Drosophila melanogaster: one gene and its partner. The protein of the gene in region 2 purifies or fractionates together with the protein of the main gene of each other region. This does not show direct contact. Each region holds a gene or a part of one and is shown on either strand. Other genes may lie near its edges.

Region 1 (7,983 bases), on a different chromosome or scaffold from region 2:
GCTGGTGGAGCGCGCGCTCTTTTATCACGGTCACTTGCTTGGTCAGCTGGAGGTGTATCAGCTCGATGAGCTTGAGATACCCGAGCACGAACACCTCATCCTGCAGAATCTGCACACCAGCTCTGGCGCCAACTCGAATCGCTCCGTGCTGCATTCCGGTATTATAGGCAGAGGTCTGCGACCAGTGCTGCCCCCCAGCGAGCGGAACTGCGATGCGGAGAAGCAGGCGCTGTATCTTAAGGCATTGAATGCATGCTGCGCCGATCTGGAGAAGCCCAACAACGTGGAGGGCTACTCGCTGGTCTCGCTGCTGCTGGTCGAGCTGGTCTCCACGGATGTCATGTACAACGGCCTGCCCTTTCCGGATGAGGAGTTCACCAGGGTCACAATGGAGCGGGACATGCTAATCAGGAGAGCGTTCATCAACTCCCCAGTGCTGTGGGCTGTTTTGGGACTGATCGCCGGTCATAGGCCGGCGCTTTGCTATTCCTCCGTGCTACTGCGCGCACTGTGCGCCACCTGCTTGCATCACTGGCGGGGCAAGAATGGTGAGCTTGTCACTTTACTTGCTTATTTTCTATAAAGGTGCCTAATCATATTATACGTTTGCAGTCAATCGATTCCAGCCCACTGCTGCGAACGATGAGCTGATGCTGTGCACCAAGAAGATGCTGCAACTGCTGGCTATGAGCCAACTAATTCCACCTCCACTCACCAATCTGCATCTCATCATCGAGCACTTTGAATCGGCAGAGGTAGATCCATTATTTGCCCAAACTGTGTAGTAGCACCAACTAATGTATGACATTTCCAGATTGCCCTGCTGCTGCGCGAGTGCATCTGGAACTATCTTAAAGATCACGTGCCCTCGCCGGCGCTGTTTCACGTGGACAACAACGGGCTGCACTGGCGCAACACGAATACACAGCTGGCCAAGGTGCCGCCGCAATATGTGGACCCGTTGCGCCACCTAATGCAGCGTAAGCTGTCCACCCTGGGCCCCCACTACCATCAGATGTTCATCATGGGCGAGCTGATGGAGGGCGACTCAGAGCCAGATCCGACGGCCCGGCTGCAGATCGTTGAAATAGATTAAGCAAACGTAGTTAGCTAGCCTAATGTTGTAGTGTGAGCATGAGCGTGTGTGCATGGAATAATGGAGCGTCTGCGAGTGTTGAGTGTGGAATTTGGAATGTGCGAAATGTGCGAACTAAATGCAGTGTTTGTATTTTGATATTCAATGGGTTCTTTTATTTTCGTTTCATTGGTTTGTAAAAATTAAAATCTCAACCTAGGCCTTGCAAATACTGTCCAGCAGTTATTGTACCGACGGCGCCTGAAAATCGCATCATTCGTCGTGTGTAGTTTAGAATATAACGAAGCCAACAAACAATTTCACTTGAACATATTTCTTTATGTGTGCGACGCACCAATGGGCACCGTCTCCTCCGGCAATCCTCGGCTGCCTTCAGTACATCATAATATATTAACGACTAATTTACGCATTCATTTGTTTCATATAATACACAGTATTGTCACATGGATATATAGCTTTCGTGTCGCTCCCATAGCTCCCCAATTCCACAGCCAACTCCGCTGATGCGGGCTGTTGCTGCTGTTGATGCGACCGCTGCTGCTCCTGCTGCTCGGGCGGTACGAGGTTGCGCCTGAATTTCCTACATGATTCTATGGTTACAAATACTTGGCGAATGTAGGACAACAGAATAAAAACGGGAAAACAAAACCAAAAAGTTGCTCACAATTTGTTAACAAAGTTATTCCTTTCGATAAATCTTAGCATCTATGTTTAGTGGAGGCATCTAAGGCGCCTACGAAGTTCGGCAGTGGCTCAGCTTGCGCACGGAGATGCAGGACGTCAGCTTCTTGGCGCGCCTCTTCAGTGCCGATCCCTTCTTCTTGACGGGCGCCTCCTCTCTGCTACCGTTGCCCAGCGAATTGCTGGCGGCTGCGGCACTTGTGGAGGGCGGTTCGTAGGTGTGGCAGGCGGCTAGGGCTGCCGCCGACTGTTTGGCCCGAATTTCGGAGGCAGCAGCTGCCGCTTGGCGGGCGAGCTCCTCTGTAAAGGTAACCATGAAAGTAGTTCACTCGGCATTAGATTGATGTTGGTACGTACGATTTACGTCGTGTTCTGTAAAGTAGACATCCTCCTCCTGGGTGCCGTAGTGGTAAGCTTCCAAGTAAGGTATCACCGTGGAGTTGCGGTATTTGTCACCCTTCAGGGGGGGAATGGGTATCGGTGGGCCGGTCTTAACCGGTGCGGATCGGAACCAACTAAAAGCAGATTATAACAATCAGTTATCATGAAGTGCAATCAAGGAATATTCCTACTTACGTGTCGTGGCGTATTTCCTGCAGAGAGAGGCGTTTACTGGGATCAGCCTGAAGCATGCCGAGAATCAGGTTGGCAAAGTCCGCGTCCATTTCGTATAGCCACGCGGGCGCCTCCCACTGACCTCGCCCGATGTTCTCCAGCAGTCGGTAGATATTGTCGCCCTCGAAGGGATACTGTCCAGTGGCCAAATTGTAGCTGCAAATCCGTTAGATTAGTACAGTATATACATTTAATACATGATATTATACAAGGAAGGCTTACAGAGTCACTCCGCTGGACCAGATGTCCACCTTGAAGCCGGCGAACGTCTCGTGTCCGTTGGCAATCTCCGGTGGCTGGAAGGCCGGAGAACCTTGGCCCGTCGTGCATGTGTCGTCAGGTGCGAACAGATCCAGTTGCTCCGCCACACCGAAGTCGGATATCTTCAGCGTTTGATCCAGGGAGAGCAGCAGGTTGCCTGGCTTGATATCCTTGTGGATGACCCGGCAGCTGTGCAAGTACTCCAGGCCGTCGACTAGCTGTTTGAAGTAACCGTGCGCCTGAAACAGCGGCATCCGCTTGTCTGGCTGATAGTCAATCATCTCCTGCAGCCCGCCGACACAGTACTCCATGACCAAGTACATTTTCTGCTTCTCCTCGTTGTACAAAACATCGACCAGCTCCACGACATGTCGATGCTTCAGCTGCTTCAGCAAGGCGATCTCGCGCGTTACGTTCTGTTCGCCGTTGGGAATCCGGCGCAACTTCCGCTTAGTCAGGATCTTGACGGCCAGGCGGCACAGGTTCTCCGAGTTCATGGCCTCCTTCACCTTGCCGTACGATCCCTCGCCGAGAACATCGCCCATTATGTACTTGCCCACCATCTTAATGCTCTTCTTTTTCTGCTGATAGATGATGTCCTGGCTGTCGACGCGATTGAAGAACATATTACCCATGTCCAGCGTCACGCGATCGAGCGTCTCGATCTCGTCGTCGTCCAGCCACGTGACTTGCGGATGTGGCTGGTCATCGAGCAGCAGTTCATCCGGATTGTAGAAGCCAACGCCCGCGCCCGCATCATCCGCTTGGGCGGTGTCTTCTTTGAGCTCCACAAAAGCGTCGTCGTCCAGATCGGAGGCGACGTCATAGTGAAAGTTCTTATTGGCCAGCAGTACGGTCATCTCGTCCTCAACAGGATCCGGCTCCTCCTCCTCCACCTTGTGCTGGGCCCCTCCGCCCGTGGGATGATGTAGATGATGATGGTGTGCTGCCTTGACCTGTGCCTCCATGGTGGTCACAGTCATCTGGCCTGTTGCTCCTGCCCCTCCTGCTTCTGCTCCACCGGCTGCTTTACCTCCGACTGGCCGAGAGCTAGAACATTGCATAAACCTCCGCGGAGCCCCAATGATCACATATCGCAGGTGGCAGCCCCACTCCGGCGGATGGGAGTGGACGGTGTGGTCCCTGTGTTGCCTGTGGCTGCAAAACGTTTGGTTAGTTCATGGCTACACCTAATCCTCACCAGGCACACACGCGCTTTTATCGCTCACCTCTCGAAATACCTTTATTTTTGTAATCAATTCGCACACACTCGAATTGATTGCCGTGCGATTTTTCGAGGTCCCTCGTCGCCCGTCGTCTATTCTGCGATGTCCGCTGGAAAGGCGTTCCCCCCTTTCGTTTCACCGTCGTGCGATCTGTTTCTCATAGAAATTTGTGAATTCCTGTGTTTACTCTCGCCGTTCAATTTGTTCTTTTCCCCTTCCGAAAAATTGTTTAACAATTAGTTTTTGGCCAAAGTAAGTTCGCCGCAATACGGTCACACTGGTCGCGGGCAACCAGGGCTGCACGAGCACTGGTTGTTGTTGCTACTGTCGCTGCTGAAAAAAAAAAACATTAACGAAAAATAATAAATTTGTATTTTTCGGGACGAACGCTGGAATAACTCGAATCGAAGTGGAAGTCATGGCCGCTGGGACGACGACCAAGGAGCGCCTGGAGCGTCTGATTAACGCTAAAAAGCAGCTGGAGGCGCAGATCAACAGAAACGGACAGATCCTGGCCGCCGTAAGTAAATTCGCTTGCTCATCCGGGGATACCCTGCATCCGGGATAGGGTATGCACACTGTGGCAAGCTGTTGGTGACGCACCACCGTGGATATTCATGATCGCAGGTTCTTCAACTTGGACGGACCGCCAAGCCAAATGTTGATATATTCAATACCCTACTGTTGGTTAGGGTATGTCCACTTGGGCAAGCATTACAGCATTATCCTATGCTTTGGTGTAGGGTATATACACAATTGTATTTTGAGTACATTCTTTTGTTTATGCTGTATAGCATTGATAATGATATCTTCCTTCCAGAACGACAATGTGGGCATGAGTGGACCACTGGTGGACGCCGAGGGTTTTCCGCGCAACGACATCGACGTTTACCAGGTGCGCCTGGCGCGACAGACGATCATCTGCCTGCAGAACGACCACAAGGAGCTGATGAACCAGATCCAGACGCTGCTCAACCAATATCACAGCGAGATTGCCACCACAGATCCGGAGCTGGTGAACCGCGCCTCCGCTTTGGACCTGGACAGCGACCGTTCACCCGGTGGCGCTAATATCACGGATCTTGCTCCTGCACGCGCCATCGTGGTGGTCAATCTGGTCAGTCCCGATTCGCCCGCCGAAAGAGCTGTGAGTGAATGTAGTAAACAAGCGAAGATCACAGCATTGAGATGGGCCATCTTTACCATTTAAGGGTCTCTGTGCCGGCGATGCCATCCTCCGCTTTGGCTCCATCAATAGCGGCAACTTCAAGGGAGATCTCGCCCAGATTGGCGAGCTGGTGCGCAACATGCAGAGCCAGAATGTCCAGCTGAAAGTGAAGCGCGGCGAGCAGCAGTTGGACCTCATCCTGGTGCCGAAAACGTGGAGTGGACGCGGTCTCCTGGGCTGCAACATCGTCCTGCCGCCCGAGGCGATGGATCACTGATGTAGCTTTGTGTTTAAGCTTTTTTCGAGTTGCCTGTGCACTCCTGCCCTGCACTTTAGTTATCAGCCCATCTCTGCCAGGCCGACGAACATGGTTGCTCCAAATTGTGAAAATTGATTTTTGGACGCGATTTCAGGGCAATTTCAGCTGGAGTCATCTCGCTGACTGACAGCCGGGTCAGTGGGCCAAGGAGCAGCAGTGGAGTGACCCAAGGTGCACAGGTGACAGGCAAAAGGATGATATTGTGATTCGGTGGATTCTGTCGACATGACCGATTTTTTTTGCATTTAATTTTCATTCAATATGAAATGATGCGTAACAAAATGATGAGGCGGTTTTACTAACAAATAAGTTTTTATAGCGCTTTTACTGGTAAATAAAGAAGGATATATAATTAAAAATATAAAAAACAAATTTGGAAATTATTATCTAAAAGCATAAACGTTTTTGCAGAAGACTATGGTTTATTCTTCTTATGAACATTTCAATTTAACAGAGAAACAAATTCTAAAGAAATGTTCGATTTTAAAAGTTCTGTTTTTGAACATCCAGGTACTAGCCAAGTTTTCAACCAATGCTCAAGCGCTTAGTCAGGGCACAATGGCTTTAAAACTGTACTCCTTCTTAAGATAAAATTATTTATATATCTGACGTGAGCAATTTAATTGAAAGAGTGTATTGTTAATCAATTGGAATAATAGTTTTTATGAGATGGCAAAGTCATTTTATTTGTTTCGTTTTTTATATCAGGTTTTTTTTAAATTAAATGCAACAGTCTGCAGCCCAGACTCGAACCAAATTCCGTAACAGAATTCGCTTAACCGGTTAGGACACATGTTAGCTTAACAGTGAGAGAGATTTTCCGCGAAGAGAGCGAATTTGGCAGGACGAGCTTTCGCCCGAAAATCTATTTAAGCAACACGCAGCGTAAAAGTTTAAAACTTTTTTCACCCGCGCCGCAGCATCCGATTGCCACGATAAAAAAAAGGATAATTACAAATGCAGTGAAATTGTTGAAGCAAAGCGACTGGCGAATAACAATTCCAATTGCTTGCCAAAATATACAAAAATTATCCCCGCACCAGTTTGCTTGTTTTGTGCGCCGGAGCAAAGCTGCCGCAGCCGTCGAATCCGAATCGAGAGCATTACGGATGCGATTTCGAATCCGAATCCGAGTGGCGACAGGACGAAAGTGCGGCCCAATCGCCGTCAAATTACGCTAGTGAAAAAATCGTGGGGCGCCGCTGAATTTCTGTGCAATTAACGTGAGCGATTGAAAGGATCTGCCTGCTGCCAACAACGCGACCGATGAAAATTGCGAGCCGTTCGCGTTCGTCCTGTGCGGCGGAAAGGATGTGTATGTGTGCGGGCTTTATATAATGAAACACTTCCAATGCGTGGACCCAGCCAGCTCTCGTCCTTCTTTTCATCTTTTTTTTCGCGAACTGGAGTGGCAGGATAGTGTCACTGTCATTGCCAGTGCATGGGAATTGTGAGGGAATCTGCTTGGTGGTTGGGGCTACGAAAGCTGCGCGAAATAGCACAACAAACAGGCAGCAGCGGGGAAACTAACAAAAAAGTTAACTAAGGGCGGGCATCCTTTTCCTGTGTGTGTGTGTGTGTGTGGTGTGTGTGTCTGTGCGTCGCTGTGGGGCAAAGGAAAACCAACCCCCACAATCCGCACCGAAGGACCAAACATTTCGGCTGCTACTCTCGATGAATTAAAAAAAGCCTGTGTCTGCGCTGCGCTTGTGTGCGTGCGTACACTTCAACGCGCTTCGAGCCCCACACACACACACACACACACACACAAACACAGGGACACATTCACACACACACACACTTGAATAATTCAGAGACACTGCAATGCTGCCTCATTGTTCATCAATAAATTGGCGTTAGATGGCCACACACACTTACACTCGAAGAGAACTTCAAGGAGGAGCTTTCATTTTCAGTTTTCGGCGTCTCATTATCCCGCGTGCTAACTGAATTATTCAACAATTACAGCTGAGATTTCGCAGCCTCACACGTTGCCAAAAAGTGCCAGTTGTGCCAGTGTGTCCACAAGTCCTTACGCTCATTGGGCGAAGGACACATGCAAATGAAAAATTCATTTGCATGTTTGTGTGGTGGGCCAGTGTGTGTGTGTGTGTGCGTATGTGTGTGTGTTAGCTGAGATGAAAAGTACACACAGCGCCGGTCATCATGGTGGCACAACAATGAAGTTCAAGTTGATCCTTTACGCGTCGAAAAGGATCAGAAGTCCTTCGGCAGTTAAATGTACACATTGAAGAGCCATTTGTGGAGTTTCAATGCTGCAGAACATCATATCCTTGAAATATGTGCCTTAAAGTATGCTATTTTCCACAGAAAACATTTAGTTTCGAAGTTTCTTTGAAAAGGTGCTTAAAAGTATGCTATGACATATGAGAAAGCAAGAAAAAGATATTAATACCACATCTTTTTGTGGGAGTTTCATTGAAAATCCTTAGATATAACATTATTGATCCCTCATATTGCAAAATCACTACCTTTTATAGACAACACTGGGATGATAGGCGAAGCTCCATAGGAGCAACCCAGTGTAGTGGTAGCGTGGTATTGATGATGACAGATTAGTTGCAGTCGTTATTTTTAGCCCGGCCATAAAAAGAAA
Region 2 (8,744 bases):
TATCTCTTACTGGAGTAATGATTTTTTTTTTTAATATTTTTGGATTCTAAAATTTGTGAGTGCAGTTCGGAAAACGGAGATTAATACATTTGTTACATTTTCAATGTACGATGTCGGTATTGCATAGTTTATAGTGTACTTTCGATTTTCGGTTTATTTCTCATTAAATAATTACAACTTAGGCGCTCCCCTCGATTATGTATCTTTTGTATAATATGAACGAAATACGCGTTGTCAAACGGGCCGTGGATCGCTCGCTTGTTTACTCTGACGTCGATTGATGATGTGTGCCGACAAAACACAAATGTCCCACATCTATGCACTTATCCATCATCCGCTTATGCCGGCAGCTGGAGCTTCTTGCCCTTAAGAACTTTGGTAATGTATAAGTAGAAGAAGTCGCAGTACAAGACGGTCTGGACAACTCCGGCGAAGATCGCGATAAGGTCGTAGTGCGACTCGACCATGTACCGGTAGACCCAGTTGAGCAAGTAGAGTGCACGGTACGATCCCAGGGCGAAGAGGTAGTGGCTGGTGATGGACTCGGCCTCGCCGGTTCTGCTCACTAGGAACAGCTGCGGCAGAATGGCCACCGATTCCAAATAGATCGAGAATGTCCACAGCACTTCCATCACGGTAAACTCATGATTGATCACCAGCGAGAGCAGGGCGCACGGCACCAGCAGGAATTCGATGCGGAACGAATCGTGATTGTGGTCATAGGTGGCCTTAAACTTCACGTACATCAAATACACGGTGGCACCGGACGTGGCCAGGAACAACACCTTCATCACCGAGTTGTACAGGCTCACGTAGGTGGTGAACAGATCCAGGTAGCGCGTCAGATAGACCACGGCGAACAGGATCTGCGACTTGCCCGATATTCCGGCGCACGAGCGGGTCTTCCATATCTTCAGCAGCAGTATTATGATGGCAAACACATGCGACAGATCCCCAGCAAAGCGAAAGATATTCATCGTGATCTAATCCGCCGACTTGGCTACTTGGCTGCCCGGTTGGCTGTTTGATTGTTCTACTTCCTTTCGCTGCGGCTGCGTCACGGAACGCACGCCTATATGAAAATGGGAGTGTATACTATAGCAATAATGGCGGCATTCAGTGTTTCAACAGCTGCATACGTTACCAAAATGACTTTTCGCCTAATTTGCCAACGAGTAGAGATGTGAGGGCTTTGCCGCTTCGGAAAAAAACTTGTCAGAATGTCGGCATAAACAATGACGTGGCTGATGAATAAGAATAAGTTTGATAACATGGCCACTGCCTATCGATATCGATAAGTGCCGCCACATGATTTTTTTAATGAAAATTCGACCATCTCTAACGAAAAAAATTGAGAAAAAACATACTGATTCAAATTTTTTCTTTTTTCGTTTTTTATCATAAGATTTAAAAAAAATTTAATTTTTTTCTCTTCTTTTGCTAGGGATAGTCGAATGTTTGTTTAAAAAATCATGTGGATTATCAATAAAAAATTTATATTCGATAGGCTCGATTGAAAGACACCAGAAAATGCTGACCGCCGCACACGCCACTCGATTTATTCTTCATGCCTATCGAAAAAAGCCGTGGTGAGGTTCCGGCATCTGTATTTTATTTACAAGCGATAGAATTAACATAGAAATCAAATAAAATGGTAAGTAAAAACACTGTTTTAAGCATCTGACTGCAATGGTTAAGTTTTGTTTAGTTGTATTAATTCATAGATTCTTACTTTCGCGGTTGCGATTTCGTATTTACATAGGCATACATACATACAAACATGCATGCGAATAAATAAAACAATTTGTTTTGGCTAATTAACTATTTTATATTTGTTTAAAATTATGATTTTTAGTGATCTTCGATATTACGCTGAGATTTGCTATTTCAAACTCTGTGGTTTATTAAAATTTTTATAAATACCGGCTTTTTTAAAGGGTCGAAATGGTTTACAAAAGATGGCGCGACTTTTATGCATGCTATTGTATTTCACAATTAAATCCTTTGAATTCCTTTATTTCAGACGATCGGCAAGAACAACAAAATGATTCAGCACCTGAATTATCGGGTGCGAATCGTGCTGCAGGACTCGCGTACCTTCATCGGTACCTTCAAAGCCTTCGACAAACACATGAACTTGATCCTCGGCGACTGCGAGGAGTTCCGGAAGATTCGCTCGAAGAATTCCAAGGTGCCCGAGCGCGAGGAGAAGCGCGTGCTGGGCTTTGTATTGCTGCGCGGCGAGAACATAGTTTCACTGACGGTGGAGGGACCACCGCCGCCAGAGGAGGGCCTGCCCCGAGTTCCCATTCCGGGAGCAGCTCCTGGTCCGGGAATCGGTCGCGTGGCCGGACGCGGAATGCCTATCAACTTGTCCGCCGTGCCAGCGGGTCTCCAGGGTCCCGTGAGAGGTGTGGGCGGACCCGCCCAACAGCACATGGCTCCGATGGGACGAGGAGTGCCACGAGCACCGATGATGGGTGCACCGCCACCGGGCATGATTCCCGGCGGCATGCCCTCGATGCCAGGAAACATGGGACGCGGTGCTCCGCCACCGATGCGCGGACCGCCGCCCAGCATGATCCGTGGAGCACCACCACCGGGCAGGGGTGGCTATTAAGTATAAAGTACAATCTAATAAAAACTCATTTAGAAAACACCACTTAATCGATGGATTCGTGTATTTATGTGTTGAATGTAAGCATACGTACATACAATGATTATTGCTTTACATCAATTATATGAGAACCTAAGCAGCAGGGACTGGATTTGGTCGTTGCCAGCCACATCGTTCGTTAATTGGGTGTTCCAGTTAAGACCGAAACGCCTCGTGAATGATTATACCTTTGGTACGTGCGTGTGCGTACAGGATGTTTTATGCCCAGATGTTGGAGAGATCCCAGATCTTGATGAGCCTGTCCTGGCCCACTGTCAACAGGCGCTTTCTGTCCTCGTCCAGGTCCATGTAGACGATCGAATGCTTGGCGTCATTGAATGAAGCCAGCGAGGGGCGCTCGACTGTCTGAAGTTGTTTGTAGCACGGATCACAGGTACGCACATCAAACTCGAAGCCCATTATGGGTATGTTAATGCGATTGGTGGAACAGTTGTCGCACACGGCTTTGCCGCAGTGGCGACAATGATGCTGTCGTATTCCTGACAGTCAGAAATTACTTGTAAAACAAAGAGTAACTCAAGTGTAAGCTATTTATCTCACCCAGCTGCTTTTGATCCATCATTGAGCGGAAGTTCCAGAAGAAGGGCCTGGAGCAAAGCTGACAGTTGTTGGTATCCACCCAGCCAGGAACCTCTTTCCGCATTGCATTCATTTCCCAAAAAACCACTACTGAATCTTCGCCACAGCTTATCAGTTGTTGCGTGTGATTCGCGTACGACAGGGCGGAAACTTTGTTGCTACATAATCAGAAGTGCCGATTACTATCTTATTTTATGAATATTATTTAAGATTGGAGATACCTATGTCCCTGCAGCTCGTAAATGGTGCCACGTTTGCCACCAACATCCCAAACTAGCACGGACTGATCGCAAGCTCCGCTAAACAAGAGCTGAGGGCCTTCCACCCATTTGAGGCACCGGATTTCCGCTAAAAATTAACCAATTCGTATATAATTAGCTTACTAAATATCATTTGTAACTTGTTTACCCGAATGTCCATTGAAAGTGGTAATTAGTTGCACTCCCTGAACATCGCACCTTAGCATTGTTATCTGTCCAGCATGATCGCCCACAAAGGCATACTTGGCCAAAGCGTCGAACCTAAACGCAGATTATAATTAATTATATGTTGCTTATAGAATATTTCGCACAGTGCACACATTTATGCCAAAATTTTGTGTAGATAAAATGACTCAGTTGACACGTCATTAACAATAGAAGGTTCTCAAATTCTAAATGAATTCCATAGCCGTGAAGAATTGCAGTTTATTGCCGTGTCAAAGAAAGCAGTTTAATCCAATTAAATGACCCGCTTATCCCATATCCACTGTCGCACCCCCTTCCCCCTTTCACCATCCATTTATCATACTTACTGGAGAGCCGTGCATGGTGTCTCAAAGTTGTATCCGCCCACCCGTTTGCCGCTCTCCGTGCAATGATAGGCGAACTGCTTATCTTTGCCGGCGGAGAGTATCCACTTGTGGGTTTTCGAGAAGACCACGGCCATGACCCGCGCTTGATGGGACAAGTAATCCCGCAGGAAGGACAGGCGATTGCAGTCTTCGGATAGCGCGTACTGGGTGACCGTTCCGTTTTCCTGGCCGACGTACAGGTGCCGGGATTCCGAAACGTACTCGATGGCCGTGCAGCCGGAAGGCATATACTGGCAAATGCTAGGCCAATATTGACCAGAATCGCGTTTTAGCCAAACGCGAACGGTTCTATTGGGGAAAACATGAAAATGTCAGGCATACCATTTGTGTATATTTTTAATGGGCTACAGCTACGCACTTGTCATCGGAAACGCTAATTACGCCGTTTTCGCCCGGAATTAGGATCGCTGCGTTCACATCGTCGCTGCTGCCCTCCAGCTTACTCAGCAATTCCGGCTTTTTGGAGGTGTTAAAGCGATCATTGTTGGTCCGCTGAGCTGGTTTTATCTCGGCAGCCATATTATTTAAGGTGGATCCAGTCCGATGGTACGCCTACGCCCTATTTAACGCACTCGATGATAATGCGGTTATAAACAATCCGATTCTCGGACTGGGGAAGGTGAATGGAGATACGTGATTCACAATCAATTAACAAAACTGTGTTATTTTGTTTAACATTAAATATACTGAACTTTGTTGTTGGAAAGCTCGTCTAGATAGCGACGCCAAGTTTAGGAATGCTGCGGAATAGTGGAATCGATGAAATGAAAATAGAATCTTAATTGTTAGATATAGTTTTTGCGTATTATTGTATATTATTTTGCTATTAAAAATACTGAAGGTATTTCGTGTGATGTGTCGCAGCATTATGTATGCATATGCACGCACCACATTTTATAAACATACAAACGAGCATTTGAATCTTGAATCTCAGAAATCGCTTTATAAATGTATAGTCTTATGATTTTCATAATGGCATATCATATCTAATAAAACCTACGGACCACGCACAGTTATGTTTCCGGTTATCATGCTATTTAATTATTAATCACAAAATATTTGTTTATATTGTGTTAAGTTTTTAATACGTTAAAATTTATTATTACACATAAATAAATAATTTTATTATAAGTAGGGTTAACGCAAAATATAGCTAGTTAAGCAGATTAGATCATTGTGAGTGTTGCTCAGTGGAAACAGAGCTTTTCCAAAAATGTGCTTGGTGGAATTGAAGTATAATAAGGCGCTGTTGTATTTATTGTTTTTCAAAATCCTTGCCCGCCAATAGAGTAAAAAAGGAATGCAAAACATGTTGATAGTTTTAAAAATTATTCATAATAGCACTCAAACGAGTTGATCTGTCCAGCAAAACTAGTCTGAGCGGCCAGCTTACAAATGGAAGATAACAAGGAGCTGCAATGCTTAATATGCAAATATTCGGACACTGACGACCTGGTCTTTGGCGAATGGATGATTGTACGCAATTTGCAGGTGCACTATTTTTGCCTGGTAAGTGCGATTGTTGTGAAATGAAGAGAACTCCCGCTAATGTAAACTTCCTGATCCAATCCACCAGCTACTCTCAACGCATTTGCCGCAGCGCGGCGGAGATAGCAGTGGAATCCTGGGATTTCTGCTTCGCGATATCCGCGAGGAGGCAGCCGCCGCGGAGAAGAGGAAATGTTGGTACTGCAATAAGATTGGGGCCAGTTTGCAATGCGATCGTTGCCGGTCATTGTTTCACCTGAAGTGCGGCCTGGAGAATCGCGCCGTTTTCGAGTTCTGCGGCCAATACAAAAGCTACTGCTACAAATGCAGGCCGATGGATGACTACAAGCGACAGCTGCAGTCGAATCCGCCGAGGAACGCCACTTGCCCCATCTGCTTCAGTTCCATCTATAAGGTAGAGCTGCATTGCGTTGTGTACGGTGACTGCTGCCGCCTCGGATTCGCCCATAAGAAATGCATGCGTCAGTACGCTCTGACCTCCGGATATTACTTGCGTTGCATTTGGTGTCGTTCGGAACGTTTCAGGGATTCCATACGCCTGCAGTCGGTATTCGTGCCCGATCGCGATGCCACGTGGGAGAAGCAACGGAACGCCTATAGGGAGCTCCACGAGCGCAATCTGAAATGCGACCAGCCCAACTGCCTGTGCCCCAGTGGTAGAACTTATAATAGATTATCGTGGGTGATACTATGCTGCAGTTCTTGTGCCGCCACTTCGGCTCATCTTAAATGCTTGGTGGGCGCCCTGCGACTGCCGAAGAAGCGCGAGCGTACAGATTTCAAGTGCTCTATGTGCCTGGACGTGGAGAGGAGGATTGCTGAAGGACCGGCTCGCACAACAGAAGAAACCAATGCTGACGGCGACAACCAGGTGGATGGCTCTTTTTATGTGCAAAAATTGGGACCCGATGCTGCAACTCGATCCTTAACCCAGACTCCTGTTTTCTCCGAAGAAGACGAAAGCGAACGAAGTAGTAATATCACGGTTATATTCAGCCAACCGAAATCTAACGCAACAAGCGAGAGGTTATCCTTATCGCCGCCACAGGAGGAGATGATAGTGGAAATTCCTGATTCGCCAGAGGCGTCGCCAAAGACGTCCATCGATGAGAACCACTCGCCGCAGCCAATAGCAAGAAGGGACACATCCGACTCACCACAGCCAATAGCAGCAAGTGAGATCCCCGACTCACCGCAGCCAACAGCAGCAAGTGAGATCCCCGACTTACCGCAGACAACAGCAATAAACGTAAACCCTGAATTAACGCAGCAAACAGCATTAAACACGATTCCACACTCACCGCAGCCAGAAGCCAGCTTCTCAACGCAGCTAGTATCACAAACTTTCGATTGTCCACAGCCGCAGGAACAAGCTGTGGCGAAAGCTCCCAACTCACCGTCACTGCCGAAAGAGGATCCAAATACTTTACTTGTGCTAAAATCGGGCTTTCAATGCCCTGGCGAACCATTTTTCTACTTGGTTATCTACGAATTTGAGCACGGCACATGCATGGGTGAGTGCATTGGTACGTGTGTGCTGCGATTTAAAGAGGATGACCCGCGCATTCAGGACACCTCGCAGGCAGCTTTGGAACGCGTCAACATAACACCAGACGATGTATGGTGCCGCAGCGAGGACCGCGGCATCTTTGAGCATATCGAGAAGTTCCACGAATGGTACAGATCAGAGGGGTTCTCTTAAATATTGTTTAAAACAATTCTTAATGTTCTTAATGTTTTAAACAATTCTCTTGTGTGGGAATTAATTCGTCATAGAATTCTAGTCTCTTTATGCATATATTGTTTCGCATGATCATCCAAAAAAAAAAAAAAAACAAAAAAAAATTTCCTACCTCTGAAACCACTTTAAAAAGGTTTAATGATTGTTAAACTAGAGAAGCATGCAGTAAATAAATTGTGTTTTATGTTTTTGTATTTATAATTTAATTCTAACCTATTATTGGAGTACACATTGTTTCACTTCTCCATTGAAACCATATCTCGGCAAATAAAGAAGGCGGCTACCAGAGCTGCAGTTTGAGCCACTTCTGTACATCCTTTGGCCAATCTCTCCTCGATCTGAGCTAGCTTTACAATAAGCTTGTTCATGACCGACATAGGCAGCTCAACTGTTTGGAATACATATCAATAACTTGACTTGATGATAACTTGATAAAAACTTACGTCTCATAACAAACAAATGCAATTCTGTAATGATGTCTTCCAAAGCGAGACCTCTTGCGTACTTGGCACTTTCGACAGCTATGCAAAGAGAAGAAAGAATCATTAGTTTTGATCTTTCGCCATTTCAAATCGCATCATACTTTTGAAGGAGTCCTCCAAGCTACTGCCGGATAGCAAGGCCTTCAATATCTGTTCAATATCCTGCCTCAACGGATAGCCCACGCACATGTAGACGTTATCCTCGTTTACCGTATCAAATGCCATCACGGTACTCTGCAGGACGTTCAAGACCTTTCTCATATCACCTTTGGCCAGGGTCAGCAGTGCCCGCTTGCCGTCCTCAGTTATCTGAACGCTGATAGTTGATAGATTTTAGGTTAGTAATAAGCTATTTTATGCAGTTGAAAGACCTTACGCTTCGGCTTCGATGATTTTTTCCAGTCGCGGCATCATCTGATCCTGGGATAATGGAGCGAACCGAAAACGGGTGCAACGCGACTGCAGCGCCGGAATGATTTTGCTCAAATAATTGCAAATCACACAGAAGCGCACGTTGTCCGTATATTTCTCAATTATGCGGCGCAGGGCATTCTGGGCATCGTTGGTCATGGCATCGGCCTCGTCCAAAATGATCAGCTTAAAGGTGTCGCAGAAAATGGTGCGTGTGGACGCGAAGTTAAGGATTTGACCGCGCACAATCCCAATGCCTCGGTCATCCGAGGCATTCAGCTCCAGGACCATGGACTTAAACTGCTGAGGGGAATACAATTGGCGAGCGCAGGCCAGGATTGTACTCGTTTTTCCCGTGCCAGGTGGTCCGTAGAACAGCAAATGGGGCAGCTGCTTGCGGCTTATAAAGCGGGTTACTAGAAGTACACTTAAATGTGGTGGCTTTGTATGGCTAAACGCTCAGAATGCTCACTTGTTGATATTATTTCCTCG

What was found.
Region 1: the proteins of Wdfy2 (region 2) and Lkb1 purify together in Drosophila melanogaster (affinity purification with western blotting, with the first as the bait; one study listed by BioGRID). This does not show direct contact.

What each region holds. Positions count from the first base shown.
Region 1 is NT_033777.3:13,672,844-13,680,826, reverse strand, and holds Lkb1 (Lkb1 kinase), read right to left. Parts: upstream 4,279-7,983; 5' UTR 3,883-4,278; intron 3,812-3,882; 5' UTR 3,718-3,811; coding exon 2,615-3,717; intron 2,549-2,614; coding exon 2,354-2,548; intron 2,293-2,353; coding exon 2,135-2,292; intron 2,078-2,134; coding exon 1,830-2,077; 3' UTR 1,761-1,829; exon of another isoform or gene 1,687-1,760; 3' UTR 1,397-1,686; downstream 1-1,396. Other genes in the region: omd (oocyte maintenance defects), read left to right, coding at 1-548, 613-755, 815-1,096; CG9588 (uncharacterized protein), read left to right, coding at 4,298-4,399, 4,700-5,026, 5,091-5,324.
Region 2 is NT_033779.5:10,419,404-10,428,147, reverse strand, and holds Wdfy2 (WD repeat and FYVE domain containing 2), read right to left. Parts: upstream 4,858-8,744; 5' UTR 4,802-4,857; exon of another isoform or gene 4,720-4,801; 5' UTR 4,629-4,719; coding exon 4,468-4,628; intron 4,398-4,467; coding exon 4,050-4,397; intron 3,778-4,049; coding exon 3,665-3,777; intron 3,605-3,664; coding exon 3,478-3,604; intron 3,415-3,477; coding exon 3,218-3,414; intron 3,157-3,217; coding exon 2,876-3,156; 3' UTR 2,666-2,875; downstream 1-2,665. Other genes in the region: KdelR (KDEL receptor), read right to left, coding at 339-977; small ribonucleoprotein particle protein SmB, read left to right, coding at 1,652-1,654, 2,024-2,620; pie (pineapple eye), read left to right, coding at 5,505-5,618, 5,686-7,320; RfC3 (replication factor C subunit 3), read right to left, coding at 7,596-7,747, 7,803-7,880, 7,943-8,157, 8,218-8,668, 8,725-8,744.